Caenorhabditis elegans: one gene and its partners. The protein of the gene in region 3 interacts with the protein of the main gene of each other region in a pairwise test. Each region holds a gene or a part of one and is shown on either strand. Other genes may lie near its edges. The genes, in order: kel-8, F09E5.7, pas-6 and vab-23.

What was found.
Region 1: the proteins of pas-6 (region 3) and kel-8 interact in a two-hybrid assay, tested with the Caenorhabditis elegans proteins (2 studies listed by BioGRID).
Region 2: the proteins of pas-6 (region 3) and F09E5.7 interact in a two-hybrid assay, tested with the Caenorhabditis elegans proteins (3 studies listed by BioGRID).
Region 4: the proteins of pas-6 (region 3) and vab-23 interact in a two-hybrid assay, tested with the Caenorhabditis elegans proteins (3 studies listed by BioGRID).

The regions. Positions count from the first base shown.
Region 1 is NC_003283.11:2,668,164-2,676,071, reverse strand, and holds the start of kel-8 (BTB domain-containing protein), read right to left. Parts: upstream 4,609-7,908; coding exon 4,549-4,608; intron 3,087-4,548; exon of another isoform or gene 3,072-3,086; coding exon of another isoform or gene 3,025-3,071; intron 2,977-3,024; coding exon of another isoform or gene 2,496-2,976; intron 2,443-2,495; coding exon of another isoform or gene 2,280-2,442; intron 2,221-2,279; coding exon of another isoform or gene 2,099-2,220; exon of another isoform or gene 1,905-2,098; intron 1-1,904. Other genes in the region: thum-1 (THUMP domain-containing protein), read right to left, coding at 2,099-2,220, 2,280-2,442, 2,496-2,976, 3,025-3,071; W02G9.4 (CUB domain-containing protein), read right to left, coding at 5,886-6,005, 6,092-6,245, 6,981-7,076, 7,396-7,671. UniProt on the Caenorhabditis elegans protein: Substrate-specific adapter of a BCR (BTB-CUL3-RBX1) E3 ubiquitin ligase complex that regulates degradation of glutamate receptors in neurons. The BCR(kel-8) ubiquitin ligase complex mediates ubiquitination and subsequent degradation of rpy-1.
Region 2 is NC_003280.10:5,347,472-5,354,700, forward strand, and holds F09E5.7 (PI31_Prot_N domain-containing protein), read left to right. Parts: upstream 1-4,615; 5' UTR 4,616-4,637; coding exon 4,638-4,703; intron 4,704-4,750; coding exon 4,751-4,913; intron 4,914-4,958; coding exon 4,959-5,442; intron 5,443-5,523; coding exon 5,524-5,746; 3' UTR 5,747-6,288; downstream 6,289-7,229. Other genes in the region: F09E5.8 (Pyridoxal phosphate homeostasis protein), read left to right, coding at 3,205-3,290, 3,342-3,441, 3,494-3,574, 3,628-3,708, 3,754-3,938, 4,122-4,192, 4,333-4,463.
Region 3 is NC_003283.11:5,581,390-5,587,947, forward strand, and holds pas-6 (Proteasome subunit alpha type-1), read right to left. Parts: upstream 2,955-6,558; 5' UTR 2,946-2,954; coding exon 2,796-2,945; intron 2,750-2,795; coding exon 2,557-2,749; intron 2,508-2,556; coding exon 2,437-2,507; intron 2,388-2,436; coding exon 2,258-2,387; intron 2,208-2,257; coding exon 1,969-2,207; 3' UTR 1,772-1,968; downstream 1-1,771. Other genes in the region: CD4.11 (MAM domain-containing protein), read left to right, coding at 3,793-3,838, 4,164-4,455, 4,503-4,585, 5,002-5,107. UniProt on the Caenorhabditis elegans protein: The proteasome is a multicatalytic proteinase complex which is characterized by its ability to cleave peptides with Arg, Phe, Tyr, Leu, and Glu adjacent to the leaving group at neutral or slightly basic pH.
Region 4 is NC_003280.10:11,895,143-11,904,544, forward strand, and holds vab-23 (C4H2-type domain-containing protein), read right to left. Parts: upstream 6,069-9,402; 5' UTR 6,054-6,068; coding exon 5,971-6,053; intron 3,862-5,970; coding exon of another isoform or gene 3,851-3,861; coding exon 3,691-3,850; intron 3,507-3,690; coding exon 3,322-3,506; intron 3,197-3,321; coding exon 2,974-3,196; coding exon of another isoform or gene 2,953-2,973; exon of another isoform or gene 2,422-2,952; coding exon 2,311-2,421; 3' UTR 2,223-2,310; downstream 1-2,222.

The DNA of each region.
Region 1 (7,908 bases), 2.9 Mb from region 3:
AAAATAAAGAAGAAGAAGAAGAGGAGGAGATGATGATAGGTGAGGAAGGAAGAGGAAAGGAAAAGAGAAGAATGAAAAAAAGAAAGAGAGGAAGCCCCAATGAAAACAAGAAAAAAAAACGTCTGCAAGATGAGAAGGGGTGAGTAGTAGTGTGTTGATCATCAATCAATGCTTCCTCTCCTTTTCTATCTGCGCGTATTAAAAAAGTGAGAAGAAGGTGAAACGATGATGACGACGAAAAAGTGAAAATATGGCCTAGAACTGGATTCAAAACCTTTTCGTTTTTTGTTGAAATTTTTGGAAAATTGACATAACGGTATGTCCCGAGAAGTGGTACGAAATTTGCCTACCACGGGGTTCTGGCCTTCCTCATTGCATTTTTCGCGCTCCACTGACAACCGCCTGACGGACACCGCGTGGGAAAGCCGTGTACTCCACACACGGACAACGAAATTTAGTTTTACAACTAAAATCGAACCGCGACGCGACACGCAACGCGCCGTAAATCTACCCCAGATATGGCCGAGCCAAAATGGCCTAGTTCGGCAAAACCCTTACATTTCAATTTATGAAGGAAGCCAGAATTCCGTGTAAAAATTAGAGAATTTTTTTTTTCGATCATTTTGTTTTTCAAATTTCATAAAATGAAGGTGTCGTTTTTAAGAGTACCAGTTCTCGGGCCGTGATGATATTACGGGAACACAAAATTCTGAGAATGCGTACTGCGCAGCATATTTGACGCGCAAAACATCTCTTAGCGAAAACTACAGTAACTCTTTAAATGACTACTGTAGCGCTTGTGTCGATTTACGGGCTCGATTTTTTAAAATGATTTTCTTTTCGAAAAAAATCTACTGGATTTTAATATTCTATAGACTCGGAAATGGAGCCCGTAAATCGACACACCAGCGCTACAGTAGTCATTTAAGGGGTTACTGTAGTTTTCGCTACGAGATATATTTTGCGCGTCAACTATGTTATGCATGCGCCAAAATTTCAGTCTGCAGAATATTACCCAAAACCGACATTTTGTAATTTTTGCGCCAAGAATACTGTGCCCTGGTCTCGGCACGACAAATTTTTGTTGAATGCGAAAGAGTTCTGTAGTTTTAAAATTTCAATGCGGCGGCGGGGTTGTAATCGTTTTTTATAGGTTTTTTGTAGTTGAATTTTTATCGAAAAGCTATAAAAATCGACGAAAATCCGGCAGCAACGAAAGTTCCAAACTACAGTACTCCTTAAAAGCGCACACCTATTCGCATTTGACAGAAATTTGTCGTGTCGAGACCAGGGTACCGTATTTTTGGCGTAAAATTAAGAGAATTTCAGAAAAATCACGTGGTGTCAGAATGCCCCATAACGGTTTGATCTACAAAAATGCGGGAATTTGGACGCAGACTTCTCAATTGATTTTGCATGGTTAAGAACGTGCAGATGGCGTCACATTTTTTGGTGGAAAAAATCCCGCATTTTTTGTAGATCAAACCGTTATGGGACAACCTGACACCATGTGAAAATTGCAATAAACGGGTAAAAAGACGCACAGCATTTCACACAAATGATTATTGTAAAAATATTTCGTTCGTGGCGAGACCTTTTTCACAAACAATTTACAATAGTCCAAAAAATTTCAGCATACTGGAAAACCAGGCCAGATTGAATGCTCCCGAGTTTCGGCGGGGGGTGCGTGTAACTACTCGGTTTGTTTGACAATTTGGAAGAGCTGCGAGAGAGCGAAATAGTGTTGATTTTGGGGAGTGCGCAGAACGGGTGAGCTAGATTTTCGGGTTGGTTGCACGTTTTTTTTCTTGCTCGGTTGTGCATGAGACGCGCGCGAGCAAGGGTCGACCTGAGTTTTTGACACGTCACAGTTATAGATACCATGCATTTAAAAAATAATTAACAATCGAATCTCAAATTTCATGTATTTTAACAAATAAATAGCCAAAGTATTTTAACAGAACAAATGAAAAAAACAAAAAAAATTCGGTGCCTCATGCTGGAATCGAACCAGCGACCTTCTGTTTACTAGACAGACGCTCTGCCACTGAGCCAATGAGGCGCTGGGTGAAAGGGGGAAAAAGGTCGAAGAAGAGACTTATGTCGCTGCCGCTGCCGGCGTCGCACGAAGACTATACTTTCGGCGGTCGTAAAATTGCCGGCACACGCCAACCATAATTGTCGTACGAGATACTTGAACGAAGAATGTGACGTCGGCGTCTGGAATCATTGATTTTTTGATTTTTTTGAAATTTTTTCAGATTTTTAGAGACACTAACGATTTAGGCTAACTCTCGCAGTCGGAGCCAGCGCACAAACGGCGTCATCGACCATTTGGAGCACGGAATTCTTCGCCACAGAATCGTTATTTCTCGCTTTAAATTCCACGGAATACGTGGGAAGTTTGCCAGTGCCGTCTGCCTTCAATGTGTCGGAGATTACCTGAAAAATTACTTTTTTTTATTTTATTAATTAATTTAATTAAATAAAAGCACCTTCATCAAAACTTCATTCATTTTTGAAAGATCCACAGCTAAAGTATGCTCCACCGGGTAAACTCGTTGCAAAAACCTGCAACGCGGAGCTTTTTGCGTCAGCTCGACCATTTTTTCGGCTAAAAGTTGAATATTCGCGTTTTTCACGCTCACAAAAATGCAATTCTTCACTCCCGTCGGTCTTTGAATGCATCTTCTCTCTTTTTTCACGAAATTTCCCGGCTTCGGCTGCCTCTGATCATCACAAGCCTTTTTCAACGCATCGGCAATGTCTTCATCGGAATCTTCAGCTTCTGCTGGATTTCCGGGTGCTTCTGAGCCTTGTGGAGCAGCTTCTGGTGCTTTAAGAGAGATTCCATTCGCCGGGTCTTCGAGAAGCTCGTCAATAATACTGTAGGCTTCTTGTAGGGCCTGCTTTTCGTGGCCTTCGCAGGAAAAGAATAGTCCGGTCACTCCGGCTTCCACAGATTTTTGTTTAACTCTGAAATTGTCTTAGAATAGTTTTTTTTTCTCAAATTTTAGCTCTCACTTTTGATTCCATCGGTTATGCTTTCGTTTTCTGTCGTTATCTGCCATTTTCAGTGATTTTTTCTGGAAAAATTGAAATTTTTGAATGAAAATTATTGTTTTTGAAGTTTTTTAACGAAAAATCAACGAAAAATGCGAAAAAAACACATAAAAACAATTAAAAACAAAAAAAAACAATTAATATTCCCTCCAACTTCTCTAAATCTCTTCTCTCTTGCACGTAACCACAGAGCGCGTTTGCACACCTTTAATTGCAGAGTCACCACCACTTTATGTGAAACAAACTACGAAAAAGAGGCGGTTCTTTACAGCGAAACTTGAAAAGAGCAGCCTCACTTGATAATTAGATGAAAAAATTTTGAATATACATTTACTATTTTGACGGAAACGCTGGAATTTGCGAAAATTTCGTGATGGCGTGCAAAATGACCCGCACCTTTTTCCGGTATTCTTCTTCTAGAAAATATATATTTCCTGAAAAAAAAGCTGAAATTCACAATTTTTCGAGCAATTTTTGATGTATAATAAGTATATATCCCGAACAATTTACCAGTTTTTTCCCGATTCACCAGTAAATTTGCTTCACATTTGAACTGAACTATAGGTTATCTCGAGATTTTTATCTATGTACCATGTGTTGCGACATTACGAAAAAAACGAGTTCCGACACAAAGGCCATGCAATTAGGTAGTAAATTGGGTGACTAACTGTGTGACGCGGCTATTATGGGTACGCAGAAAAATCCACGTGGAAACGCGCTCCACTGCCAATAGGAAATTCTCGGCCCCCGCACCATGACCCGCTAGGTGTTTGGCGGCAAAATAGTACATTCGAACGTTTTGGATTAGTTATGCCGATTTCGCCGGTTTCCAAGAATTTTTTGCCATTTTTTTCCTGTTTCAAATTTCCCGTGGTTTTAATGTTTTTAGGCCAAATTGGTGTTTTTAGGCCAAAATGACGAATTTCTGATTACCCTCATAAATTGAAATGGAAGAGTTTGCCAAACTAGGCCATTTTGGCTCGGCCATTACTGGGGTAGATTTACGGCGAGTTGAGTGTCGCGCCGCGGCTCGATTTTAGTTGTAAAACTAAATGCATTTGTCCGTGTGGAGTACACGATTTACCCACGCGTTTTCCTTCGGACGATTATCAATGGAGCGCAAAAAATTCAATGAGGAAGGGTAGAACCCCGTTATTTCGGCAATTTTCCTGTTTTAATGATTTTTAGGCCAAAATCACGGGGTTCTGTCTTTCCTCAGAGAATTTTTCGCGCTCCATTGACAATCGCCCGGCGGACAACGCGTGTTAAAATCGTGTACTCCACACGGACAAATAGACTTAGTTTTACAACTAAAATCGAGCCGCGACGCGACACGCAACGCGCCGTAAATCTACCCCACTTATGGCCGAGCCAAAATGGCCTAGTTTGGCAAACTCTTCCATTTCAATTTATGAGAGGGAAGCCAGAAATCCGTGGTAGCTTACAAAATGAAATTCCAGAAAAAGTAAAATAGTTACCACCTACCGTATTAGAGCTTGACGGCATAGTTGGCGCCTCCGCGGTAGATCTGTTGAAGGTCCACATGTTTTTTTTTCGTGGTGTGTGTCGCCTGTCAGTCTGGTATTCTAGATGCCAGCTTCTTCCTCTCTCGATTCACTTCCCGCCCCCTGATTTTTTTGTGTGTGTCTGCGCCCCCACAGTGTCTCTCTCAACCTGTCTTGTACGTCCTGCGTCTTTTGTTACAGCTTCTGGTATCTTCTGAATATACCACAGCAGGAGGGGGACAGTCAGTTGATTGGCAGACAAAAACATGGCAATTATTTAGTGACAAGCTTTATGATTGTAGGCTTTAGGGTCTGGAGACTTGGGGATAGGACCCTGAACGGGATGTTTTGTTGAGGATGGGCACTTTGACCTCCAGAAAGCGCGGGAAATTATTGAAATTTGTGACGTCATATGAGTTTATAATGAGGCGCCAGTAGGTCAAACGATTTCTGTAGGTCAAGCCCTGAATAATGTCCGTCACAGTCGGCTGGTGCGTTGGAGCACATTTGATTATATTCAGGCCATTTTGACTCGGCCACGGCTGGGGTCGATTTTTGCCGGAATTGAAAATTTTCGGCAAATCGGCAAAATGCCGGAATTTAAAATTTTCGGCAAATTGGCACATTACCGGAAATGAAAATGTCCGGCAAATCAAGAAATCGCCGGAATTGACAATTTAGGACAAACTGGCAAATTTGCCGGAATTTAAAATTTCCGGCAAATCGGCAAATTGCCATAATTGAAAATTTCCTGCACATCGGCAAACTGGCGGAATAGAAAATTTCCGGCAAATCGGGAACTCGCCGGAATTGACAATTTCCGGCAAATCGGGGAGTTGCCGGAATTGAAAATTTCCGGCAAATCGGCAAACTGGCAAATTGCCGGAGTTGAAAATTTCCGGCTAATCGTGAAATTTGCCGGAATTCAAAATTTCCGGCAAATCGGCAAAATGGCAAATTGCCGAATTTGAAACCTTCCTTTGCCGAACTGCAATTTCCGCTCACCGATTTTCAATGGAGCGCGAAAAACCGCTACTAGAAGCCCGTGATGATGATCTACTGTAGATCAATGTGAAATTTTTCCCGCGTCCGGGCATAGAACAAAAATTTTATTTTTTAAAAACCAGCTTCTCTTCCTCCTAAAATTTCCCTTTTTATCGCCCTACCCCTCCCCCTTCAACCCAGATTTCTCTTATCACCCCCCCCCCCCCCCCATCACTAATTTTCTAATTTTCCTTTCACTTTCATACAGTAAGCGGCAAAAAATAATTGCGAAGAAATAATAATTCATTACATATTGAGAATTTCGGGGGACTACTAGATAGAGATAACCGGTGCTGCAGCAGCTCCAATAAGCTTCTTCTCCTCGGCCTTCTTTTTGAGCCAGTCGAGAATGTTCTTGTCACGACGAATCGCCACTGAATCCGTTGTCAGGGACTGAAAGATTAGTTTTTAGTGAAGCCCTAGGTACCTAGGCACAAAAATGCCTGCCTGCTTCCAAGCCGGCCTAGATCTTTTCTCACCTGTGGTAGTACTCCGCGCTTGAAGTTGTTCGAGACAAATGAGGTATACAGACCGGAGAATCCCGAGAAATTGGTGACCAAGTCTGAGGAGAAGCACAGGTACAAAGTGTTGCTCGTCGATGTTATTGGAGCTGGCATATTCTTTCCGGAATAACTGAAAAAATGGTTATTTTATAGTATCCTTGGATTAAGATCAGTGGGGGATATGGTCGGGGTACTGTAGGAGTATTGTAGGATTACTGTAGTTTAGGAACACTTGAGTTTTTGTCTTTTGAAGGGATATTGGTTTAGGGTCAGTGGGGGATATGGTCGGGTACTGTAGAATTTCTGTAGTTTAGGCAAAATTGAGTTTTTGTCTTTTGAAGGGGTATTGGTTCAGGGTCAGTGGGGGATAAGGTCGGGGTACTGTAGAGGTACTGTAGGATTACTGTAGAATTACTGTAGTTTAGGCAAAGTTCAGTTTTTGTCTTTTGAAGGTATGTTGGTTTAGGGTCAGTGGGAGATATGGTCGGGGTACTGTAGTAGTACTGTAGGGGTACTGTAGTAGTACTGTAGTAGTACGGTAGAGGTACTGCAGGAGTACTGTAGGATTACTGTAGTTTAGGAAAAATTGAATTTTGTCTTTTGAAGGGATATTGGTTTAGGGTCAGTGGGGGATATGGTCGGGGTACTGTAGGAGTACTGTAGGATTACTCTAGAGTATGATATTTGATATGAAATATAGCAATATTGGTAGGTAGTCATAAAAACTATGGAGTTTTCTGTTTTTCTGCTTTAGTTAGATCCAATTACGGCTTTTTATTGAGACTAGGTTTCAGATCGCCTGCCTACCTTAGTCCGCTTTAGGTCGACCTCTCGCCTACCTACCCCTACCCCCTGTCTAACTTACTGTCCAATAAGCGGTGCGGAAGTGTTCGCTCCATCGTACACGGACACTACATCGTATCCGTCCTCTGTGTTGAAGGCGACAAATTGGAAGGAGATCCTGAAAATGTCACTTTTTATGAACTCACTATCAAGGATTATGTGGTCATATTTCATCATCTTATTTGAAATTTCGAGTAGTGCACGGGGAGCACACTTTTCGTAACCGTGACCATTTTGAAATTTGAGCATAAATAATTGTTCTTGTTGTTGAAAACTACCTAGACTTTTATGACTTTTTTAAACGAAAAAGCTGCGTAGACAAATTTTGACCCTATGTGTCATAAATACAACCTTATCAAAATGATGACTTGCTTTTTTGACGTCATCTACAGATCAAAAACGTCATGCTAATTTGATCTACTCAGGTAAAAACTTACAAACGATCAGCAGAGACTTTGATCAGGAACGCGCATGATATGTTATCCGGGTAGTTGTACGGGAAATTTGGCGAGGTGATAATATCGAATTCACTGTTGTGCAGGATGCTCGAGCACAAGTTGGTTGGCATGTACACGGATCCTACCGGCACACTGTCGTATCGGATCAGGAATCCGCGGAACGTGTTGGTCAAGTCGCTGGTAAAGACAAGCGTCACTTGAGAGGCTTGAATGTCGAGCGCGAATCCGGTTTTGTCGCCGGAAACCGTTGTTGAGCTGAAATTTTTGACTTTTATGATGGGGTACGTGAAATGTCGGAGTCAAAATGGTTGGCTATGCCCTCAGAATTGACAACACTTTTAGCTCATTTTTCTGCTAAGAAGTCTGCATCTAAATTCCCGCAATTCTCGGAGATCAAACCGAAATGCGACATTCTGACACCACGTAACATCGTCTCTATGTAGTTTGACTTTTGATCTCTGATTTTTAAACTCTCTGGAAGTTGGTGGGGGA
Region 2 (7,229 bases), on a different chromosome or scaffold from region 3:
CGGGTTTCAATCGATTTCGAATCGATCAAAATTAATATTAATCGAAAATGAGCGTTTCCTTCCCGGAAAAAGAAGAACTTGATGCTGAGAGTGATCCAGGCGGAGCCAAACGATTAAAATGATAGAAGTGATTTTTTATTCAGTCGAAATGGAAAATAAAACTGCAAACAAAAGTTAATTCGATTAAATTAAGTAAGAAAAATCATGGCGAAATTTGGATAACCTGAGTATGGAAAATTGTTTCTATAATCTAATGGCACAGAGGTAAACAAAGAGATCAGTGATAGCATTTCGGAATTTCCATAAAAGGGAAAAGTTTCTCATTAAAAGCACTGAAACCGGTATAATTCAAAAACACTGAAGTACAGAAATCGGGGTTTTTGTATAATGGCACAGCGGTTGTTCGATTTCCGGATCGTCTCTTCAAGTCTAGGATCAATGATTTTGATAGTTGAATGGTCTTTTGAATCACTCCTCGCAGGTTTTGATAGTCGTTGTGATGATACATTCTCTGGAAAACAAAACAAATCGATATTATATACCTATTTGAGAACTTAAAAAACTACAAAAAGAAACTTGCCTTCAGCTTGGAAAATTGCTGCTCACTCGGGTTGTTTGTGAACTCTAATCCGTTTCGAACCCTCTCTTTACAGTTCCAAAAATCAACGGGATATCGAGCATCTTCTCCAAAATAGAATTTTTCGAGGTAGCTGAAGAAATCTGAAAAACGAGAATAATTGATTTCATGACAAGATTTTTCAAACCTTTCAATGCTGGATGAATATTAACTGTTCAACATTTCAGAAGACGGAGCCAAAGAAGTACTTTGTCGTGTGGAGCAAAACTGAGAGTATAAATCGATTTTAAAAGATTCACGAATTCCGGCTTATTGATATCGTCTCCAACAGCTGAAATTTTGAATTAGGTTAGCAGCATTAAATATTTAGGTTTACCTTTTCGCAGATTTTTAAAAAGATTCACTTTGAAGTGACGCCAACATCCGAAAATGTCCGCATTCGGCCACACAGCTCTGCTCGCATTAACACTGGCCACTTCAAAGTCTGGATAGGTTGATAAATTTAATAAATATAACCAACGTTTACCTGAAAATACGTATTTTGGTTGGATTCCACTACGTAGGAAAGATAGGAACAAACGTCTGTACAAATCTTCTTTGGCAGAGCCACACAAAGCAAAAACCAATGGAACTGCCACGTTCGTATCGAGATCCTGCAATGTCATTGGTTGACATCAAAATACCTTTCAATTAATACGCACCGTGACTGTTGCGATGTAAAGCTGTCGATAATTTTTCGGAATTTCTGAGAATTTCCCATCCAAATGCAAGCTGTGCGCACCATACAAAGATTCAGCTTCCTCTGCTTGCCACACAACTAGCAAATCCTTATTAGACTCAAACGTTCCAGAACTGTCTAAACAACATTTTCCTCCTTTAAAATAGGCAGAATCGAGGGCTGGTGGAAAACTATTCGTCGATTTCCTACTCAGCATACCGTCCAGTATGCGACTGATTTCTTTCTGGAAAAAGTATATGTTTTATTGATTCCACGATTTATTATTTACGTTGCTCTTGAGAAGTTCAACAACTTCATATCTTTTTGAAAGTGTAACAGCAAGCTCATAAAGGCGTTCTTTTGATGGTGAAGAAGACATTGATGAAACTGCGATTTTTCTCATAATTAATTGCACCTAAAATATAAATTTAGTTTTGAAAAACGTAAATTTCAGTATACTGCAATTTCGCTTCTCCTCGATTCGTGATCACAATCACGACTGACTTTCACATGGCCTGTCTCAGTCTTGATACGCACGGATCCGGGGCACTTTCTCGAGTTTTCCAGTGTAACGTTACATCTGAAATAAATTAATGAAATGTGTGACAATTTTTTCCTAGCGATAATTCACCTAGCCACAATGTCCCCATTTTTCAGTGTTTCTCTCGGACGATAGCTTTGATTGTTGAAAATGACCAATGGAGCTCCTCGTTTCGTCGAAATACTGAAATTGCATAGTTTCTATGTTTAATTGTTTTAGAAGTTAGAAGGCATACCAAAAATCTGAACTATTCTCGCTGATATATTCCGGTGCCATTTCAAGCACCCCTCTTGGGCTATTGGCAATCGGTCTATAGTGCATCAGAGAACGTAACACGTGTGACTTGCTGGAATTTTATATTTTGATAGAGTTATTGATTAATAACAACCTATTTGTCAAAAACCAATCCGGATGGTATGGAGTCTCTTCGTCTTCAAACGGAGATTGATATGAATTGTGACCTAAAAATACAACGTCTGTTATTTCTATTTAATTATTAGTTAAGACCTACACAGAAGATTGAATTCACTTGTTTCCTGTAGATCGTGATCCATTTCTTCGGGAAATACAGCTGGATAAAAATCAAAAAATCTTTCAGTATTTGCCATGGAATCTGTTGTATCCAAGCTTGTTTCCTGAGTAGAATTGGCTATTGAATCGCATTCCGGGATATCGTCAGTGGATCTCGGCTCATCGAGCTCTCGAGAATTTGAAGGAAACTGCATATACGAATCAGACCGACGTGGTGATGCAGGTGGAGTAACCAGATCGATTGTTGCAGGAGTCGATTCACATACATTTGTAGTAGACGCTTTCGGATTTCTTTTCTTCTTTAGATCCCTGTCGAACGCTGAAAAATACTTTTCACTCTTCAATTAATCTTTAGACATCAATACTTGCCTCTAAAAAAGCGTTTGGCTCCGCTTGGATCACTCTCAGCATCAAGTTCTTCTTTTTTCCGGGAAGGAAACGCTCATTTTCGATTAATATTAATTTTGATCGATTCGAAATCGAATGAAACCCGTTTTTGTCATCGAAAATTCTGAAAATATCCGTATTTAGCTCGAATAAAACTAATTAATTTCCATTAAAAATCCGTTTTTAATTGAATTCCGTTCGAAATTTCCTGTTGGAAAAATAAATAAATAAATACGAAGAAGCGTGCGGCGCATTGCAAAAAGCCGTGCGGCGCATTGCGAAGGACTGTGCGGCGGGCTTGCGAAAAGGCGCGCCGCACATTGCCCTACTGAAAGCGTTCCTTACGAAAAAATCCCCTTACGAAAACGTACCCCCTCTAGAAATTTCTTATTTTGTTGTTTCCTTCCTTTTCCGTGTTTAGAACTAAATAATATAGTTTTCAGGTAGAAAATGTCTATAGAAATTGTACAAAAAAGTCTATTCAACATTATTGAAGCCGTTGCCGACGCCGTTACTGCTTCGCAAGCCACAAAAAGGTTGGTAAACCGGAAATTATTGCGAAACTAAATTAATAATGAATTTTTCAGATGTCGACTTGTTGCTGTCAGTAAAACAAAGTCTGCTGATTTAATAGAGGCATGTTATTCTCAAAATCAGCGTCATTTTGGAGAGAATTACGTCCAAGAAGTGAGAGAAAAATCATCAACAAAACTTTTGAAAATGATTCCTTATTGTTCAGCTTGAAGAAAAATCTGATGTTTTGGCGTCAAAATGTTTAGATATTCGTTGGCATTTTATCGGACAAGTGCAATCAAATAAAGTTAGTTCTGATGGAAAATTTACCTTATTTATTAATCATTTAAAAATTTTTAGATTGGAAAAATTTGCAATTCTCCTGGACTTTGGTGTGTTGAAACAGTGGAGACTGAGAAACATGCTCGGATTTTCGACAAGGTGTGTTTAGTGACTATTAATCTATTTTAATTAAATATCTTGAAGGAATGGTCAAAACACGGAGCCAATTTGTCACCACTACGAGTTCTCGTGCAAGTAAATACATCCGGAGAAGATAATAAAGGAGGAATCGAGATTGGAGAAGCACCGAAACTTGCGGAATTCATTCGAAAAGAATGCCAAAACTTGAAATTTGATGGATTCATGACTATCGGATCGTTTGACAACAGGTATATATTTATTTATTGTTACGACTATCCTACTAAAAAGTTGTTCAGTGGCAGGTGAAATGGAAATAGGTGTAAGAAATGATGAAAATGAACGTTTTATATTAATTATTACTTGTAAATAATGATCAAGCTAACAAGCGATAAATTAAATATTTACCATAAAATAAAAGTTCAATTTTACAGCCACGCAAGCGGAGAAAATCCGGATTTCGAGAAGCTCTTCAAAGTCCGACAAACATGGGCAGAACAAACAGGTGAACAGATTTTCTAGAAAAATCAAAGCGAGAACCGTCAGTGGTTGACGTCAAAAAATAAAACTTATGCTTCAAGAAATGTTTTGAAATGTTGGATCCACAAAGTTTCTAAACAAAAACTTGAAAAGTATTGATTTCAGGTGAATCTGCGGATTCAGTAGAACTCTCAATGGGAATGTCCGATGATTTCCTTCAAGCAATTCATCAAGGTGCAACAAGTGTTCGAGTGGGAAGCAAGCTGTTCGGAGCCAGAGAATACAAAAATAAATAGATTTACATTCCATTTTTTAGTTTGTTATTTTTTTAGTATTTAAAGAAAATTCACTATTCAAATTCACTTTTTTTTTAATTACCAGATTCCAATTCAGTTGCTGTTACTGTTTAAATACCTTTCTTTTGAATTGAACTTTTCAGTTCCTTCAGCATTTTTTTCAGTCACAGAATAATGGATAATTTCCGATCGGAAATTCTCAAGGAAACTCGAGAATTAATGCTCAATGAGCAGCAACATGTAGGTTAATTCTTTACTTTTAAGCAAATTAAGCGTGATTCATTCAGGAGGAAAGCATGAAATCTTGGAACGGACCTGAAACGAAAGGATTTGAATTAAAATTCGGAGGCACCAAGCGAGGAGTTCCACAGAACTCTGGAGTAGTTGGTCAGGTTTTCATCAGTGAGGATGGAGGATTTGAAGCAATCATAACTGGATATGTCATAAAAAGTAAGTTTTGAAAATAAAATTGTCAGTTATAATTCGATTTTTCAGACAGTCTCCGTTCCATCGCAGCTTCTTTCACAGTAACTCCTTCGTCTTCTCTGAAATCTGATTTGTCGGAAGGTCTTCATCCACTCGTGCTTGCTATTGGATCAGCTCTTACTCTCAATCATATTTTGATGCTCGGCTCTCTGCGTGACAAAATTCTGAAAAACTTGACACCCAAGAGTGTTGCAAAACTCATTTTATCGAACAAGAAATCTCAGCAAATTCTTACATCTGATGCGGTCGATAACACATTCTGGAAGAAACGTTTAAACAATGATTTTGGAAATGAAACTGTACAAAATACGATCACCACCGGCCGAAAATTCTATGGAATGTATTGCCAGAAAGCAAATGAGTCGAGAACTACAGCGAGAAGAAATGAACCAGTTCGTAATGAAAATCCGCTTATGATCGGTGGACCACGTCATCCTCCTAGACATCCTGTTCATGACCCTTACGGGAATCGTTTTCCTGATCCGGATACTGAGTGAGTTTCCGATTTCTCATTGTCAAATTTAATTTCAATTTTTTTTCCTAAAGGTTGATGCATTCATCTCCGAAATTTCAGATACTACAATCCCCTCGGAGGTTTCTTGCCACCAGGTGTACCACGCGCCGGAAATCCAAACATTCCAGACCTGTTCCGTGGACCTGATCATCCGGATCTCAATCCACTGGGCCCATTAGGACAGCCACGTGGAGGAGGAAGTCACGGAAGACCATTCATGAGAGATCCCAATGGAAGATTCGGTGGAAACGGAGGTGGTGGTGGCTTCGACGGATACATCTGAAAACCATAATTGTTGTATTAAATGTGTATTTTATATTTATTTGAATGCTACTCCGTCAGCTCCATGAGCGTGTTAAAATTAGAAAAGTCTTGTATAGCTTGCAATATTAAAAATGCAAACTACGAAACCAAGATATCTATCAAAATCGGAAAATAGGTTAGAGGGGGTTTATATTTAATATGTATTGAGCATGCTACAAGAAACCAAACACACAAAAGCCTTATAAATTCCAGAAACTCTCACGTCTACATGACTATAAAAGCCTGTCTCAGAAAAGCCTGTCTCAGAAATTTTGTTCGGAAAACGTCCCGGTCAACTTTTTGTTGACAATGTTTTACCCTCTTCCCCCCCTCATACTTAGTCACCGGACTCTTGCGGGTCCAAATGATTATTTTATATCTATTTATTCATTCTTTTTTCCTTCACTTCACTGCTTTGTTGTAATTGTATCATTATGATTGTTGCCTGATGAATAAATATAAATAAATGAAAAAAAGTGAGTCCTGAATGTTTGATAGTACCCAATAAAATGTCAACCATAATTTTTTCAACTAATTCCTTTTCTAGGATGACACAAAACTTCAAGCAAAAAAAGTTGCCACCGCTGGGATTGAACTAGTGGACGTCTGCGTGAACGCCAAAATTTTGAGCCACTTGACCACGGAGGCTTTTTTAATTTATTGGTAGTAAGGACGATGATATTTTAATGACTCCAAATTTAGACGTCCAAAGCTGAAAATGCGCACTCACTACAGTACCCCAAAACACTCGATTTTAAAATATTGGTCAGTTTCAGCCGAAAATTGGTTTCTCAAAGTAAATTGGGATGTTTAGTTCGGAATTTGGATGGAACTCCTGCAGAAAAACGGATGTTTGCGAGTTTCAACGTGCCAATCGTGGGTTACTGTAGCTCCAAAACTAAGACTACAGTATCCCAAAACCCAATTTATTTTTCGAGGGGAACGGGTGCTGCTGAGTTAATTAGTAATAAATAATGTCAATAGTCGAATCATCAAAATGAGTAATAGGGTATTTAGAGTCTTGATTTATATTTTATATGTAGTAAGCATACTACAACAAACCAAAGAACCTCAAGCGCATATTTACAACAATTCCAGAAATTCTCTCACGTCCACATGAATATAAAAATGCGATATTTTTGCTCAAATTATGAGATGTTTGATATACACAGTTTCGGCTCCAAAAAAATATATCTTCACCGAATCTTCGAGTATTTTCTAATTAATATCTGAAAGATGAGAAGATGAGTGGGTGGAAGATGGGAGGAACGAAAAGTTTCTCATATTTTCTGGCACTTTTTTCAGATGAACTTGAGTATATATATTCCCGATTCCATTTAGATTCTCTATTTTCTTTCCAATCACGAGACAAACAAGACACTCTTAGCAGCTTCTTTCATTTCATTTATTCTCGTATTTCATTCATTTTGTTCCTTGTAAATGAACATTTTAGCTCTTTTCCA
Region 3 (6,558 bases):
TCCAGGATTAGTGTCTTAAACTTTTCAGTTTAGATTTATGATGAACAGAAGAAGGAGTTAAAGAGTTTGAAAAGTTCAGGAAATAGCATTTTATTACGAGGTGCATGTATAAAGCATATATATTTCTACCAAAAAATCAAAGTTTAGGCCTGTTTGTTATAGTTAAAAACGGTTATTTATCTCTAGTGTCAAATATCGAACAATATTTTGGTTCAGCATGTATTACGTAGACGTCTGTAAATGATAATTTTCGCCATATCTTACGCGCAAGGTCTCACCACGCGGGCAAGGAGTTACTGTAGCTCGTGTCGATTTATGAGCCACTATTGCATAATACAGTTATACTCGCTGTTCTCGTGGCGAAACCCTCGACAGAAATGCCCATTTATAAACATCTACATAATAAGGGCATATTAAATTGTTTTTGGGAATCAGAAATTTTCTATTTGGCTCAAATTTGCCCGTGAAGTATGCTCGTAAAGTAAGACCAGCAATTTTGTGAAATTTGGAACTTGTTGTGATCACTATAGCTGAGATCGTGTCGAGACCCACTCAGAAAAAGATCGTGTGCCTTTAAAGCGGGGTTTGACTGTTCACGAAAAAATAATAGACGTCTAAAGAAAACAATTTCCGGCATACTGTGCAACTTACTGTAGCTCGTGCTTCTATTGCACCATGTTTTGAATAAATTTAAATATAATAAAAGAAAAATAAAATGTATTTTTTTAGACGTCTAAGTAAAAATGAATAATATTTTCCATTGAATTGAAATTTTTATGAGTAAATCAGCCTATAAGTCGACCGAACAAGCTTATTTGCAGTTAAAAAAAATTTATTTTCCAAAATTAAATTGACTATTTTTAAATAAACACTTGAACTTTTAAATTTACAGGATATATTTTCTTCAGAAAAACAATTTCAAGGATAAAAAAATCATTTCCACGAATCAATGTGTGCACTCGGTGCAAAAGTGTTCGAAAACTTGGTCTAAAAGTGAAGAAAAAGTGCTGAATAGACCTCGCCTCCTGCCGAAAAGAACATTGTGTGCTGGTGCTGGTGGCGGCAGTGCTTGAAGTGAGGAAACGCACGCCACACAGAGCCGCATGGCCCTCCGATGCCATTGGCTCGATACAAATTCATTTAAGGGCGCTCTTCTTTTCTCTCTTCGCTTGTCAGACAAATGGCACAAGGAATGAAAGAAGAATTGGTGGAAGAAACGAGAGAATTCTATTCAGTTCATTCAGAAGCGGCACACACAATGGTGTCGGGCATTGATTGTGGTTCGCTTGGGAAACATTTTTGGTTTTGCTCGTGATCATAATAAGCAAAACCGCTTGTTAGAAAAACAACTTCCAGTAGATCCGTAAATCCTACTTCCCTTTTTTACCTATTTGTGGATTTTTAAATGAAGAAAAATGTATAAAAATTGTCAAGAGCTCCAATCGAAAAACAAAAAAAGGCAGAAGTGGGTCGAAGAAAAGAGTTGACTGCGACAAAGAAGATTTCAATCTCAATTCGACGAAATTTGAAACTCTTCTCTCTTGCATCACACACACTCCTCCCCTTCTTCTTCTTTTGCTCCCCTTTCTTCGCTGATTTACAATTTGAGTGATGTAGTAGTGTATGGAACACTGAAGAGAAGAACTATGGAATAATGCCGTGGAGCAGCTCGCCGGGGAATAGCGGAAGACGGCGGGTGCGTGGTGTACTACGGCGCAGACATCCATCATTAATGGACAGAAGGCATGGACGCGAATGACGAGAAGTGCTTCCTTTAATGTTCTTTCTGCAACATATACATGACTGTTGAACGGAAAAAGGAAATTAATATGTAATCAATCTTTTGGAGCAGGAAAATAATTTAATTCGGGAACGAGAGGGAGATTAACCGGCGATAAATTATACGGGTCACATAAAAAAGAAATGGAGACGAAAGTAATTCACATGGTCTGTGATTCAAATTAGAATCTACATTTGCATTGGTTCGGCGCCACCTGGAGCTGCTGCTGCTGCTGCTCCGCCAGTTGTGCGTGGATGTGTGGAAACTTGGTTGAGATGAACGGCGACTTGAGCATCTTCGAGAAGACTGAATGGAGAATCTTTCCCGACAATTCCAATAGACGTATTCTGAGCGTTGAGGTTTTCTTCGGCTGGAAGTGTGTCGCGAAGAGCAAGGAGAGCATGGACAATCAATTGTTCCGGAGTTGCTGAAAAAAGAAATTGCTCAATTTTATCAATTATATTCCGAAATAAATACATTTCTCGAAGTTATCAACATTTCTCTCGAGGTAAGTGCGCGCAGACTGAGATCTTGCTCCGATTGAAGTTCCATGCATGCTGACGACTTCAGCAGATGGGTCAGTTTGAATGATGTGTGCTCCATCTTTCTGAACAAAAAAATATTTAAAAGAACAATTATATTTATGATGTTCTTACGTCATATCCGGCAATCAGAATTCCAACTCCGAATGGACGACGGCCATAATATTGTGTATTGGCTTGAAGTTCTGAAATAAGAACAATGTCTTGAGAAAATTGCTTCCAAAATTCGCTTACTCAATTGCATAGATTCAGCGAGCTTCTTGATTGGAACCGCTTGCTTGTAATCCCAACGCCAACTCGAGCACTCGGTTTGGAGGTAGCGAGCCAAGATGCGACCATCGGAGAGGAGACCAGCGATGGAAACTCCAGCGTGAGTGTCAATTTCGTACACTTTCTTCTGATGAGACGACAAATCGTTTTGCGCTCTCTGAAACGAATATAATTAATTGAAATTAACATGTTGTTTCGCCAACCTTCAGGGCGACGATGACAGCGTGGGTTTCACTCTTGATTCCAACAGTTGCCGAACCTTGCTTCATCGCCTCAACGGCATATTCGACTTGGTGAAGACGTCCCTGTGGGCTCCAGACTGTTACATCGCCGTCGTATTGGTTGCGGAACATGGTTCAAACCTAAAAGCTCTTAATTACAATTTATTGAAGTTTTTAGCCATTTTTTGCAGTTTTATAAGCAGAGAGTGTGATTCAAGATGAACCAAGAGTTAGAAAAACATATGGAGTTTATTTAAATCCACAGAAACAAAGAAAAAATATTTAGAAGTCGAAAGAAAACCTCTGAAATGAGTTCTAAATTTGAAAGGATGACAAAATAAGCGAGTACGCATACACCACACTTTACGCGCAATTGCTTACCGTATACCTGGCGGCAAAAAGTGAAAGAAATTTCCAGGCATGGAATTCCATGGAATTATGTAATTCTTCTGGTGAAAACTGCGTAAGATCCTCAAAATAATTTCGAAAAAAAGACACTCAAAATCCACGAAGAGAACTGTGAACAAGTAAATATTACACGAAATTGAACGAAAATTGCGAAAACGTGATTGAAAACGTCGAATTAAATTTTGAATCTAATTTTTGAGGAATTGAATATTTAAAATTTAAAATGTTGTCTACTGATGGTGGTGGCCGATTCCCTGACTTCAATATCTTAGAAATTCCTGTTTAAATCTGGCAAGGCTATACTACAAAGCTCTGTCTTTGAAAATCTCTAGTTTCATTTTTCAATCATGTCTATTGAATAATAAATATCTTTCCTCTCATTCACTTTTCTTACCCACTGACCCACTTTCTCTTGTGACTCTCGACAGTGAAACACCGTACCTAATTAGGCAATTTACCAGTAGTTCATATTCATTCTCGGGAGTACGCAATACCACACGCTCATTGAACTTTGAGAAAGGCGATTTGAAATCGAAATTTATATGTTTTCAAACTATTTTCTTCATGAAGTATGGTACTTAATATATATGTCTTGATATTGCTACTTTATGGTTTGAGTGAGTTTTTAAAAAGTTTTGGATTTGAAATCTTTTTTTCTACCAAATTTTTTCTGTCCTTTTTTATTTAAAAAATCATGAAAATTTGTTAATGGTCGCTCTTGAGGTTATTCAAAATTTAAAATTTAATTTTTGGGATTTTAGAAAAATCGCTCATTTTGTAGGGCTTTTTCTATATTGAAAATTGGAACACGGATTAGAACCATTTTGCGTCTAAAATGTAAAAATGCAAAGTGCGGCACAGAAAAATAGGTGTGGTTTAGAGACAAAAGCGCGGTAATTCAAATCAAAAGTTTAGCTAGATATGACCTTCAAATTAATTCAGATACCAGTTTTGCTTGTCACTCCCTGAGCTCTCAGTACAGTCAATTTTCATCTCGAAGAGCCAGAGCTCGCGGAGTCTCATCCCTACAACGTACAAGTGAAAATGCAATTGACTTTGACTACCTCACATCAAATCTACCGTACTCCGCAACTGAAATTCGTTCGATCTCATCTCTTACCCCATTTCCTGTGAAACCAATGCTAACTGTATCCGACGGTGGAAAGCTTACATGTCATTTTGACGATGATATGGAATATTGTGGATGGCATAATGCAGCGGACACTGACATGAAGTTTTTTTTTTCAATTTTAATAGAATTTCAAAAATTACTATTTTTAGATTCTGGAAATCAAAGTTAAACTCAGATAATAATTTTGACTCGCAAAGATTTGACTCTGGAAGTCCATTGAGTTTCACACCAGGTAAGAGGAACAAATTGTTTCTAAAAATCAATTGAAACATTCCAAAAAGATTGAAAAATTTGAAAATTTCAGCAAAAGTTTTGGTTGATGTTAGTTTGAAAATTCTGTATTTAAAAAAAATCCTAACGCTCATATGATGCCAAAATGGCCAAATATCATAGTAAAACGTTCCAAAAAATTTTTTAGATTTTTTCATTGACATGCAAAAAGTGGCAATCACTTAGATTTTGCCACTTTTTGAGAAAACTATATCGCTGTCGCATGTCCGAACCCCTACAATGTTTGAATAGGAGTATTTTTAATTGGCTCATTTTCCTATTTTCAAAAAATCATTTAAACATTAAAAAAAAAATTTATTATTAACTTTTTAATTGGGTAAAAGTACCAGTTGATTTCAACTAATCATAACAATTCAGACAACAATTTTCTACTGGCTGGCGGCGAACCAATGATTCTTCCACAGACTGCTGCAATTGAAATGGAAATTCCATGTCAATATGGAGATGCTGAAGTGAAATTCGAGTAGGTCTTCGAGTTCACAGCTACGTTGTAAAATCTCGGATCTTTTAATTTAATTTAATTTAATCTTGATAAAGTTAACTTTTAACTAATTCATCTGAAAAAGCAAATAAGAAATAGGATTCTAGTTTTTCGATTTTTAATCCCTATTATATTCTCATTAGAAAACAAAACTTTGAAATTTATGTATCTACATTTGGTAAGTTTCATCACGGATACCATACTTTTTTCAATAAAAATTATTTTTTGAAACCGATAAATCGGAAACTTTATGGTTTTTTAACCGAGATTGCATATCCAATTTAGCTTTTGACCCTTGCAAGATTCATTCTGAAAAACAGAAAAACAGTGATAAAGTGTTCATATCATGAAAGGGTTAACTTTTAACTAGATTTTCCAAAAAAAAACTAACAGAAACCAATTTTAAATCCTTATTGAATTCTCGTTTCAAAAAACCAAAAACAACGGTCAAGTTGGTGTCGATGGGAAGGGTTTGTATTCTGTTAGGAACACGGGTTTGGCATCACAAGGACACCGGGCTCTCCTGCAAGCAGAAGAATGACTGGGTAACCCATCAACTCCGGACCGATGTGAGAGAATGGAGAATCGCAGTTGTTTATATACCCGTTCACGGCCGAGCGGCAAACATGTTCGGGTGAAAGTAAGATATTTTTTCTTGTTACGAAATTTGTCACAATTGCAATCGCTAGCTGTCTCTCTGCATTTCACATGAACATGTCTGCCACTCGGCCGTGAGCGGGTATATAAGCAACGCCAATTCTTCATTCTCTCACATCGGTCCGGAGTTGATGGGTTACCAGATTAATTCTTCTGCTTGCAGGAGAGCCCGGTGTCCTTGTGATGCCAAACCCGTGTTCCTAACAGAATACAACCCCTTCCCATCGACACCAACTTGACCGTTGTTTTGTTCTTTTTCAACGATATTCTAACCGGAAAGATGAACTGATTTCATTTGGTTTCTCAGAAGGACTAGAATAATTTGTAAACTATAACTTTCTCATGATCTATGAAATTTACCACTATAGTACATAGGTTTCTCTGATTGCAAGGAAGGAATTATTTGTGCATTTCACAAGACAAGATTAAACCTGAGGTTTTGAATTTGGAATTTTATAAGGTTTCACATTCCAAATTGCTCAAAAAGGTTGATAATGAATAAAATGAAGATATGTGGTGTCAGAATGTCCCATGTCGGTTTGATCTTCGAAAAGTTGACACATACATCCTAACCAATTTTGCATGGTTAAGAGCGTGCTGACGTCACATTTTTCTGGGAAAAAATTCCCGCATTTTTTTGTAGACCAAGCTGATATGGGACAGCCTGACACCACGTGTGAAGATTGTTCACCTAGTTTGGCGGTTTCCCAAAGTCACGATTAGTGTCGAAACTAAAACGAAACATTTCGGTTGATTACGAAAAGTAACACCCGCAA
Region 4 (9,402 bases), on a different chromosome or scaffold from region 3:
AATCGACAAAATTGTACGTATCATATGAATGCTTTTACATCTATTTTGAAAAGTAAGCAAATTATATAAAAATGTCTAAAGAAAACGGGAAAAGACTTTCAAATAGGCACAGTTTTAAATGTTTCTGCCTTATAAAAAATCCTTTCAGAATCTTCCGGCAAATCTGATATCCGGCAAACGGCAAATCGGCAATTTGCGGAAAATAAAAATTTCCGGCAAAGCGGCGAACCGGCTGCCGAACTTACCGAACGGCAATTGCCGCCCACCCTTGATGTACGGTACTAGTTTTTTGACATTTATAGTGTAAAAAAAAAGTTTCAAGCTCATTGGGAGCATTGAATTTTGATTCAATTTTTTTAGCAACTTTTCCGAACTTTCAATGAAGACTAAATTTATTTTCAGAAAGGTCAAGTATTTTTCTGTTTATCTACATATATAAATTTTAAAAAAAACCTATAATAAGACGGTAATTTCAAATGAAATAGGTAGATGCTGGTCATCTAGTTTTCAAAACTTGGCTCAACTTAGCTCCAAAAAAAGTGTTCTATGTATGATAGGTAGGCATTTATCATGCCTACCTACAACATATTTTTTACATTTTGGCATTTAATTCAACTCCACTTACACAACAAAAACAGCTGTAGATGGGAAAAAGTTAATGAAACCCAGAAAAATCCTGAGCCCGACACAGACATTCTTAATGAAAAATTCTGATTTTTAGTGATTTCCATTACTTTTCTTGGCTAAATGAAAAATCTAAATATACCAAAATAAAGTGCCACACACACTGGAAAGCGAGAAAAAAAATGGTGATAGAAAAGAAATTTGCATATGACAATAAAATCGCGGTGACCGATAAAAGACGATTGGCTCATAGAGAGCATTTGCATAAAAATAAGGTGCGTCTTCGTGGACATATTGATGGAGTTATGGAGCCGAGAAATATGTGAGGAAGGTGTGGATAAGAATTGAAAATGTTCGTTTAGCACCTAAAAACACCTAAAAATCACAGTTGTAATTTATAACTGATAGCTCGGTTTTTGAATTTATTTCACCTAGAAAACTTGAATAAATTTCAGATTTTGATTGGAAGTAAATTTTTGAAATTAAATAGGAGCCACAAAAAAATAATATGTATATTGTTTGCCAAAAATCAGAAAAAAAACAGAAAAACTGGCTAGAGATCTAAATATCGGAGTTTATAGGAGGAGTGAACATCGGAGTTCACAATAAAATCCATTAAGTTGGCGGTAGGCAGTCACGTAGACCAATAGGAACAGTGCAGGCACCGGTGCCTACAGTGCCTACCTCCAATTGAAATTTGGTTCATTTATCGCTATCAATAAAATAGGGAAATTTAGCATGAGAACTGAAAAATTGAAAAAAATAGAGACAAGAAATATGGGCTTCCGCTCCACTTTTTTGTTCTATATTTTTTCCCCAATTGTCGATCATCTTCTGGAAAGGCGCTTGTGTTTTTCATGAGTCAGTTCTTTCAGGAAAAAAAAATGGAAAAACTGTGAATCACGGAAAAAGTTTAAAAACAATTCAAATGTATCGGGAAATAATGTAACATGAGATCGGGGATCTCTGCCTACTTACTAGAGTTAAAATTGCTTGCCTGCCTACATATTAACTACGCCTACAATTTTGCAAAGGCGGCGGTAGGCAGGCACGTAGGCACATAGGCACAGTGCCTGCCTACCATTAAAATTTGGTCAAAGCCGTGTTTTTCAATGGGGGTTTTTTTAAAGTAAGAAAATGATATAAAAATCATGAATTGAAATTTTTAGAACTTCTCAATTTTCGATGAGTCTAGAACATTTTCAAATTAGGCCATTACTTTTTGAAAATTAATTTTGAATAGTTTTTTTAATATTTCGTTTTTAAATATTCCAAAAAATTTCAAAGTAAGAAAAATCTTAAATGTTGTATTTTTTAATATTTCTGGACCCGGTGGGACCTCAAAAAAAAAGAAGTTTATTTTAAAAAATCTTCTAGACTCAAATTTTTGGAGCAAAATTTTGATCCCATATACACTCCGCAGCTGGAAAACAAGACACAACTATTGTAGAATGAGTTTCATCATTTTGCAACTCGATTGACATATCTAAAGGACGTGGTACTCAAGGACCTGTCAATTGACATTCTCATCACCTATTCTATGTTTATATACTCATCATTTAGATGGCTTTCCCAAAACATATCAAAAAATTGGAAATAATGTACATTAATATTCATTTATGTCTTCAGGGAGATCACAAAGTAATTGCAAAAAATAATTTTTAAAAAATGGTAGAAAAATAATCTTCAAGCGTCCTTTCTCTTTGGTTTTTTTGGATTCTTGCTCCGGCTTTTGCTCTTACACATTGGGCATATTGGAGCATTTCGGTGAATTTGTTGGTAGCAGGATTGGCAAGTCTGAAACGAGAATTTTTGTTGGGGAAAATGTTGGGGAAAACTATACAGGGTCTGGAGCAATACTACAATAAAGTTGGTTGTACCAAGGGTGAGGGGCAATCTTCGTTCGGCAATTTTTTTTAGACAAATTCGGCAAATCGGCAAATTGCCGGTTTGCCGATTTTCCGGATATTTCTCATGCCGTCAATTCGCCGGTTTGCCGATTTGCCGGAAATTTCAATTCCGGCAATTCGCCGATTTGCCGGAAAAATCATTTCTCATGTACTACCGTTTTGTCATATGTTTAAAACGTCTCCAGTTGAAATAATTTTGTCTATATATTTGCACAGCAACTTTCTATAGAATACCTCTTTTTCTACAGTACACGTAGGAACACCCTAATATTTTTATTTTATTTCACATTAACCATAGTTTTTATACATAGTGTATCTCAACTTCTATAATAACCATTTTTCCAAAATAACTAATATTTTTACAATAATACCAGTTTTTACAATTTCCTAACTACGCAACCTACAGTAACCCAATCTACTACAAAAAGTTCTTAACTACCTTCATTGGCGGTGACTGGTGATCGGTGACTTTAAGTTGATGATGCTGCATGGCTGCAGCCATATGCGGTGGTGGCCTGAACTGTGGGGTCGGTGAATTTGTCGAAAAACTGCCAAGCTGTTCAAGTAGCATTGGTTGGAACAAATTTCGGAAGTTGAAGTTTGGAAATGGAGATGGAAGACCGCCGGATAGAACCGGAGTGACTGGAGCTGCTGGGGGTTCACTGAAATATAATAACATGATTCTTTTAATCTGGTGCCTGTAATACTTTAGAAAAGTTCATATTTGAAGTTTTCACTTTACTGTAGAAGAAATTCTGACTCTAGCTCCTCAAGAAAAAAAACCTACATTTTCAAATGAGTCTGTGGTAGATCATCTTGGCTCAAAGCAATATCACATCCAGTTTCCTTAAGCTTCTCATTTGTGGACTCAATTAATTTCAGCAGTGCTTCGTATCTTTTAACAATTTTGCTCTCTCGATCTTTTTTCTCCGTCTCTGCCGCAGCAATTTCCCGTTCCAAATCGCTTTTGTCCTGAAAAAGTTGTGTGTTGCACTGTTCTTTGCAGATTTGTTGTAGAGGCGGCAAAATTTATCTATCAATGCTTAAAAAAATATATTCCTATGAGCTTGTAGATTTTTAGATTTCTAGAAAAAAGTTGACAGCTTGTCAAAGTTTGCAAGCTCTCAAAAATTATTTTTAAAAAACTATTTCTTACCTGGTTTATCAACTGAATAATCTCCGAATGCTCTTCCTTCTCTTTATTCAACTCGTCAATAGTCTTGGCAGTTTCCTTGATAAACTTTTCAGTATTCTCCAGCTCGCTGAGCTCCTCGAGCAACTCATTTCGTTTTGCAAAGTAGTCATCGACTTTTGTTCTGGAAATCATGCTTTGCTTTACTGTGGAAGCTTAAATTTTTTGAATATATTAATTAGAAATTAACTGTAGAAAAAACCAGATTAAATTTTTTGTCAGTGTAAAATTTTTCGGAAAAACCGAGGACAACAAGTGCTGGCTTCAATGTTTGAATCAGGGGTGGGCGGCAATTTCCGTTCGGAAATTTTTTTTGTCGACAAATTCAGCAAATCGGCAAAAAGCCAGGTTTGCCGATTTGCCGGTTATTAGTTTGCCGGAAATGTTCAGAGGATTTTTTTATAAGACGGAAACACTGCCTTTTTGAAAATTTCTTCCCGTTTTCTTTAGATATTTTCATAGAATTTTTACTTTTCAAAATAGATGTAGGAACATTCATAGGATACGTACAATTTTGCCGATTAAAATTAAAATTCTGAAATTTCAAAAAATGTTGTGCAAAACCACAATTTGCCGAAATTACAATTGGCGAACCTTTTCTAATCTATTTAAATATCGATTTCCAAAAATGTCACGATAAAATATCGCATTTAAAAAGTTTTCCCAAACCATTTCTGCTACATTCCCATCCCAAGCCCCCTTCACTCAACTCTACACGGTGAATTGAAGCGGCACAAAATTCGAAATTGAGGCGAGAAGATGGTCATAAAGTCACGCTTGGATAGCAAAAGGACATGATGGAAAGAGAGATGGCTTTTAATCAGGCACACCACAACCACACAAACATGACAAACACCGGATGTGAATTGTATGTATGTATGTGTGTGTGTGGGTATCTTCATGTAAGCAAATATTGTATACTAGAAGGTGTTTGGGGAGTACTGTAGAAGCGTGAATGTTTTAGATACCCCCTTATCATGCTCAAAGTTTTTATTTTTTAAATTAAGAATTTGAAATTTAATTGAAAGAGTCAGCCAACCAATTAGCGACGCGCAAGGGGTGTAGTCAAAGTTGCTGATTGGTGGGAGCCCGAAGACCCCACTCCCACAATAAAGCTCATCCCCATAATATAAAACTACTACAAGTAACCTTAAAAAGCCTACCGACACTTGTGTACACCTGGCGGCTCTTTTCTCAAGTGCTACTACCAAATCATCTCAATTTCCTATATTTTTATGCTAATTCCCTAATTCCTTCTTCTATGTGTGTGGGGGATTACGGTATGATGTTACGCAAAAGGTCGCAACAAATCCAATTAGCCTCTGTGTTTTTTTTCCTGTAAGGACATTTCCGTGTGGAGGAAGGCGCGAAATCACTTTGAAGTGACCGACTAGTACATACTTAAAAAGTTATGCAAGAAGGGGAGTGACCTTTGGCGCGGGGAACTTCAAAAAATTGCCGCGCTTACGGGTTACATGATTTTTAGTGAAGCCTAGCCTAAAAGTTGGCTGGAACTTGATGTGCGAGATATCGCACTCTTTGCCCTTCCGCCAGGACAGATATTGTTTATTGTCTGATTGATATCGCAATATTGAGCTTTGTTATTATTTAGAATCCTCCCACGACATTCTTTTGTTATCTTATTGTTTCTCCGCCTACATTTATTGTATTTAAGCCGCTTCCTCTGAGGGATCGGTATGCATCTTATAATAGAGGGCTTCACCCCAGCCACCCTCCAATCCGAACATGGTGCAAACTTTGACCAATTTCTCTTAAAGCAAGGTTATCAAGAACCTCAAGCAAATAGCAAAAAGTGTTGTCAAAGTTTTAGTACATATATTAAAGGTACATGTGGGTTTTGCAACGAAAAAAAAAAACTACTTTCAAAGTTGATATAATAGTTTTTGATTCAGATTTTAAAAATCCTGGAAACCCCTTTTTAATTCAAATATAATTTACCGTATGTCACTGTCGTTCTTTAATACATAACTTTTATCTTGGCTGTTTTTGGTGGTATCAACAATTGTTCAACAGATAAAATATAGCGAAAAACTTTAAAACAAATTTATCAGTAGGAACTAACTTGATTAAATAGAAGATTATCGAAATATGCACTGTCCAAGTTGAAAAATGATGGCGCAAAACTAATAGAGAAAACACGACGCTGCTGGGCATTTTTACCGTTTTTTTTTAAATCTAGTAGTATTAAATTTTAGTTTGCAGCATTTAAAGACTTGAACTCACTTTGCATTTGCAACTTTATGCAGCTCGCTCATCGACAAGATTGATTCGGCGCCCAAAATCGGCGAAACTGTCGTGGCGGTCATCGATGCGCGTCGAATCTATAAACGGAGATCGTAAAAGTTTTGGAGAAGAAGCACAACGATTGTCAAAAATGGAAGAAAAAAGACAGCAAAAGGAAAGTGTAAAAATTGAAGAGGAAGAACGTATGGGAAACGGAGAAGAGCCGGACGGCAACCAATAAGAATGTGGGCGGGGTCGGATATACATGAGGAGGAAGGATGTAGAGGCTCCTAAATCCATGTAGGAAATGTCAATGGGATTTAAGAATTAACAAGGATTTAGCAAATAACCCCAAAATCATTGTAGAATAGTTCTGTAATCTTATCCACTTTCTTAACTATAACATTAACGTTTATAAATTAATAGTGCCAACAAACAAATAGAAAAGATGCGCTGTCATTTATAGATCTAACCTTTTAACCGGTTACAGAGACCTTTTATCTTGATTTTGACAGGTAGCAGTGAGTTATTATTTTTATTGCACTAATTGAATACACAAATAATAAAGGTGCTAGTTGATTAAATCAATACTCAACATAAATCCTTACTTAGGGACGTAATAATGTTGTTCCTGATATCGCCATGATATCGCCTCTGTCTACCATAGAAGCCCAAGTGACAGATATCATATCGTCATTGTAAAACTGTTGTGAGCCCAATACATTGCTCAATAATCATAAATCCATCTAGTAGATGCCACGTGGCAGATCCTCTATATTTTGGTACTTTTTAGTTTATAAGCAACAGAGCTCAAGGAAGCGGAAAAGCACATGCTAAAAATGGAAAAAATGGCATAGGCTAAAAAAAACTTAGCATCTACAAAACTTAAAATGTATGAAAATATTCATGAGCTAGAACCAAAACCTATTTAGCTAGCTCAAAGTTAAGCCCAGAACATCTAAAAAGGAAACCTACAGAGTTCCAAAACCTTGTTGCTTCTCCCACGTGGCTTTAAGCTTTAAGTTTCAATATCTTATCAACAAGCACTCTCGAAGGATTATGTTACAGTAGGACACATTCGAATCCAAAACTTTCTCCATCTCGTGTTCCTTATCTAAAAGCAGTGTCCTCAAGGTTGTAACCCTTGAAAAGCGAACATGAATGTGATGAAATGTAAATGTGAATGAATTGTGTAAACTCCACCCTCCTTCCGCGAGATATGCAATTAGAGTAAGGCGTCTGCCCTCAAAGTGCTCGTAAATCAATCTAGGCCCATTCCTTCGGACCACTATCAAAACACATCTTATTTCCTCTTCTTACAAGAAGAAGAAATAATCGATCAAATGTTGCGGAGAAGACACTTTTTGTGGGGTGGCGGTATGTGCGTCAAAAGACCCCATCGATCACGTTCAGGTGTCTTAGAGGTGTCATGCGAACACCTGCGTGCTAATTGTGATCGGGATTTGAGGAAGTGCAAGAGGGGAAGTACTTGTTGGTAGAACTGTCAGGATTTGTCAGTTCCTGATGACAGGGAGCTTTTTTTGAAGTGGAGGAAATCTGGGGGAGCTAGATCAGGGGTGCGCAGCAGTTTGGCATGTTCTCTCAATGTTTTCATCAAAATTTTGTGGAAAATATAATATTTGCTCAGTCTGAAAATTATCTTCAAATGACTTGGAACAACATAGATCTAGGGCATTTCTATATAGAAATGCTCGAAAATTGTCTGAAAGTTAGATGAAAAATTCTGACAAATTATCGGAAAAAAGTCAACTTTCAGATAATTTTTGTGCATTTTTTCAGATTTTCCAAGTCAAATAGTTATTATTTTAAGATTAAGCACATATTTTACCATATTTTACAGCGAACTTTCTATAAAAATATTGGGAGAACATACCATACTGGCTCATTTTGTAGAATTGCAACTCGCGAGATGAAACGTATTTGGCGATTCAAAAACTATTTAAAAACTTTAACACTAGTATTCAAAAAGTGAGGAAAACTAGTTTTGCCCTATCATAGTTTTGGAAATTGACAAAAAATTTATTCTCCCATTTTTATATTGTATTCAAACATTCTACAGGTTCAAGCCAGCAGCAATGCTCAGAATTTCTCGAAAAGTTCAAAATTTTGAAAATTTGACAAAGCCTTACAACATACAAAATCTCAAGTGAAAAAAATTCATATTTAAACGAATCAAACTTGCGAAGAATTAATCGAGTAAAAATCAATAATTTTAAACATTCTCGCTAAAATTCTATGAAGCAAGCTCCTAGATGGTGAAGCTACTAACATTTATAAGTTTTTGCTGAAACAAGAAATAAGGATAAACCATATATTCCCATATTTAACCTATTTCTGCAGGACTACAATTCTCTGAGCTCATACTGGAGCTGTTTACAAGGTGACAAGGGAATATACTGCCACGTGGCATCTGCTACCGTTATACAATGTATTTACGATTATTGAGCAATATTTTGAGCTCACAACAGTTTTACAACAGTGACATCATATCTGTCACAATGTTTATTACTATGTAGGTGTCAGGAAAAAAGTACGAAACGAAAAAAAGGGTTGTTTTCATGTTTAACTTTGAACAAAAACTTGAAAATCGATGTCTTCGTGTCTCTGTTTGTGTTAAACGATGCAAGCGTGTCTCCTTCCCAACCGAAAATGGACAACTGAGAGAGAAGGGAGCGGGTATACGGTAGAGAAGAAAGAAGGAGGAGGGGCGTAGCTTTCTTTCGAGAATAGTAGTGACTATGAGTAAAATGCAATGAGGAATAACAAATTAGGAATGATTGGAACGGTGGTGGTGGGAGATGAATTTCTAATTTTCTAATTCATGTTTTTGGTTGAACTAGGTTGATTGGGATTAGATTGGTCTGGTTGGGGAGTTTGAATAGATTTAAAAAAGGTTTTTGGGACCACTTTGAGTCTATTAAAGCAAGCTAGAAACTCTACTCTACAAAGACTATAAGGTATAGCTTTTTTATACAAATATAGGACTTCGAGAATTTATTGTATGCAAAAAAATTTAGCTTTGGATATGTGACCGTAGCCTGGAACCTTTTTTTTTTTTGAAAGAAGCTCAGCTTCATATGTAGGGGATCGCACAAATTTGAGCCCCTAAAACTTTGGTCTGAATTTTTTCGGTCAATTTTGGCAAAGATCGTGTCATCTAAGAAAGAATCAAAAGGCTTTTTTTGTTCAGAAAACCTAAAGCATCCCAAAAGTTTTCAGAATTTTCAAATTTTATAAACAATCTAAAAATAATTCAAAGTTTGCAAAAACTTACCTAGAAAAAATTTCATGGATCTCGAAATTATTGGCAAAAGTGAGCTTAATAGCGAAGCTTCAAATTGGCCTTTTCTGTTTAGTCTTGCCAAAGTGCCAAATTTTTGAAAAATTCAGAGCAGTTCAAAGTTCAAAAAC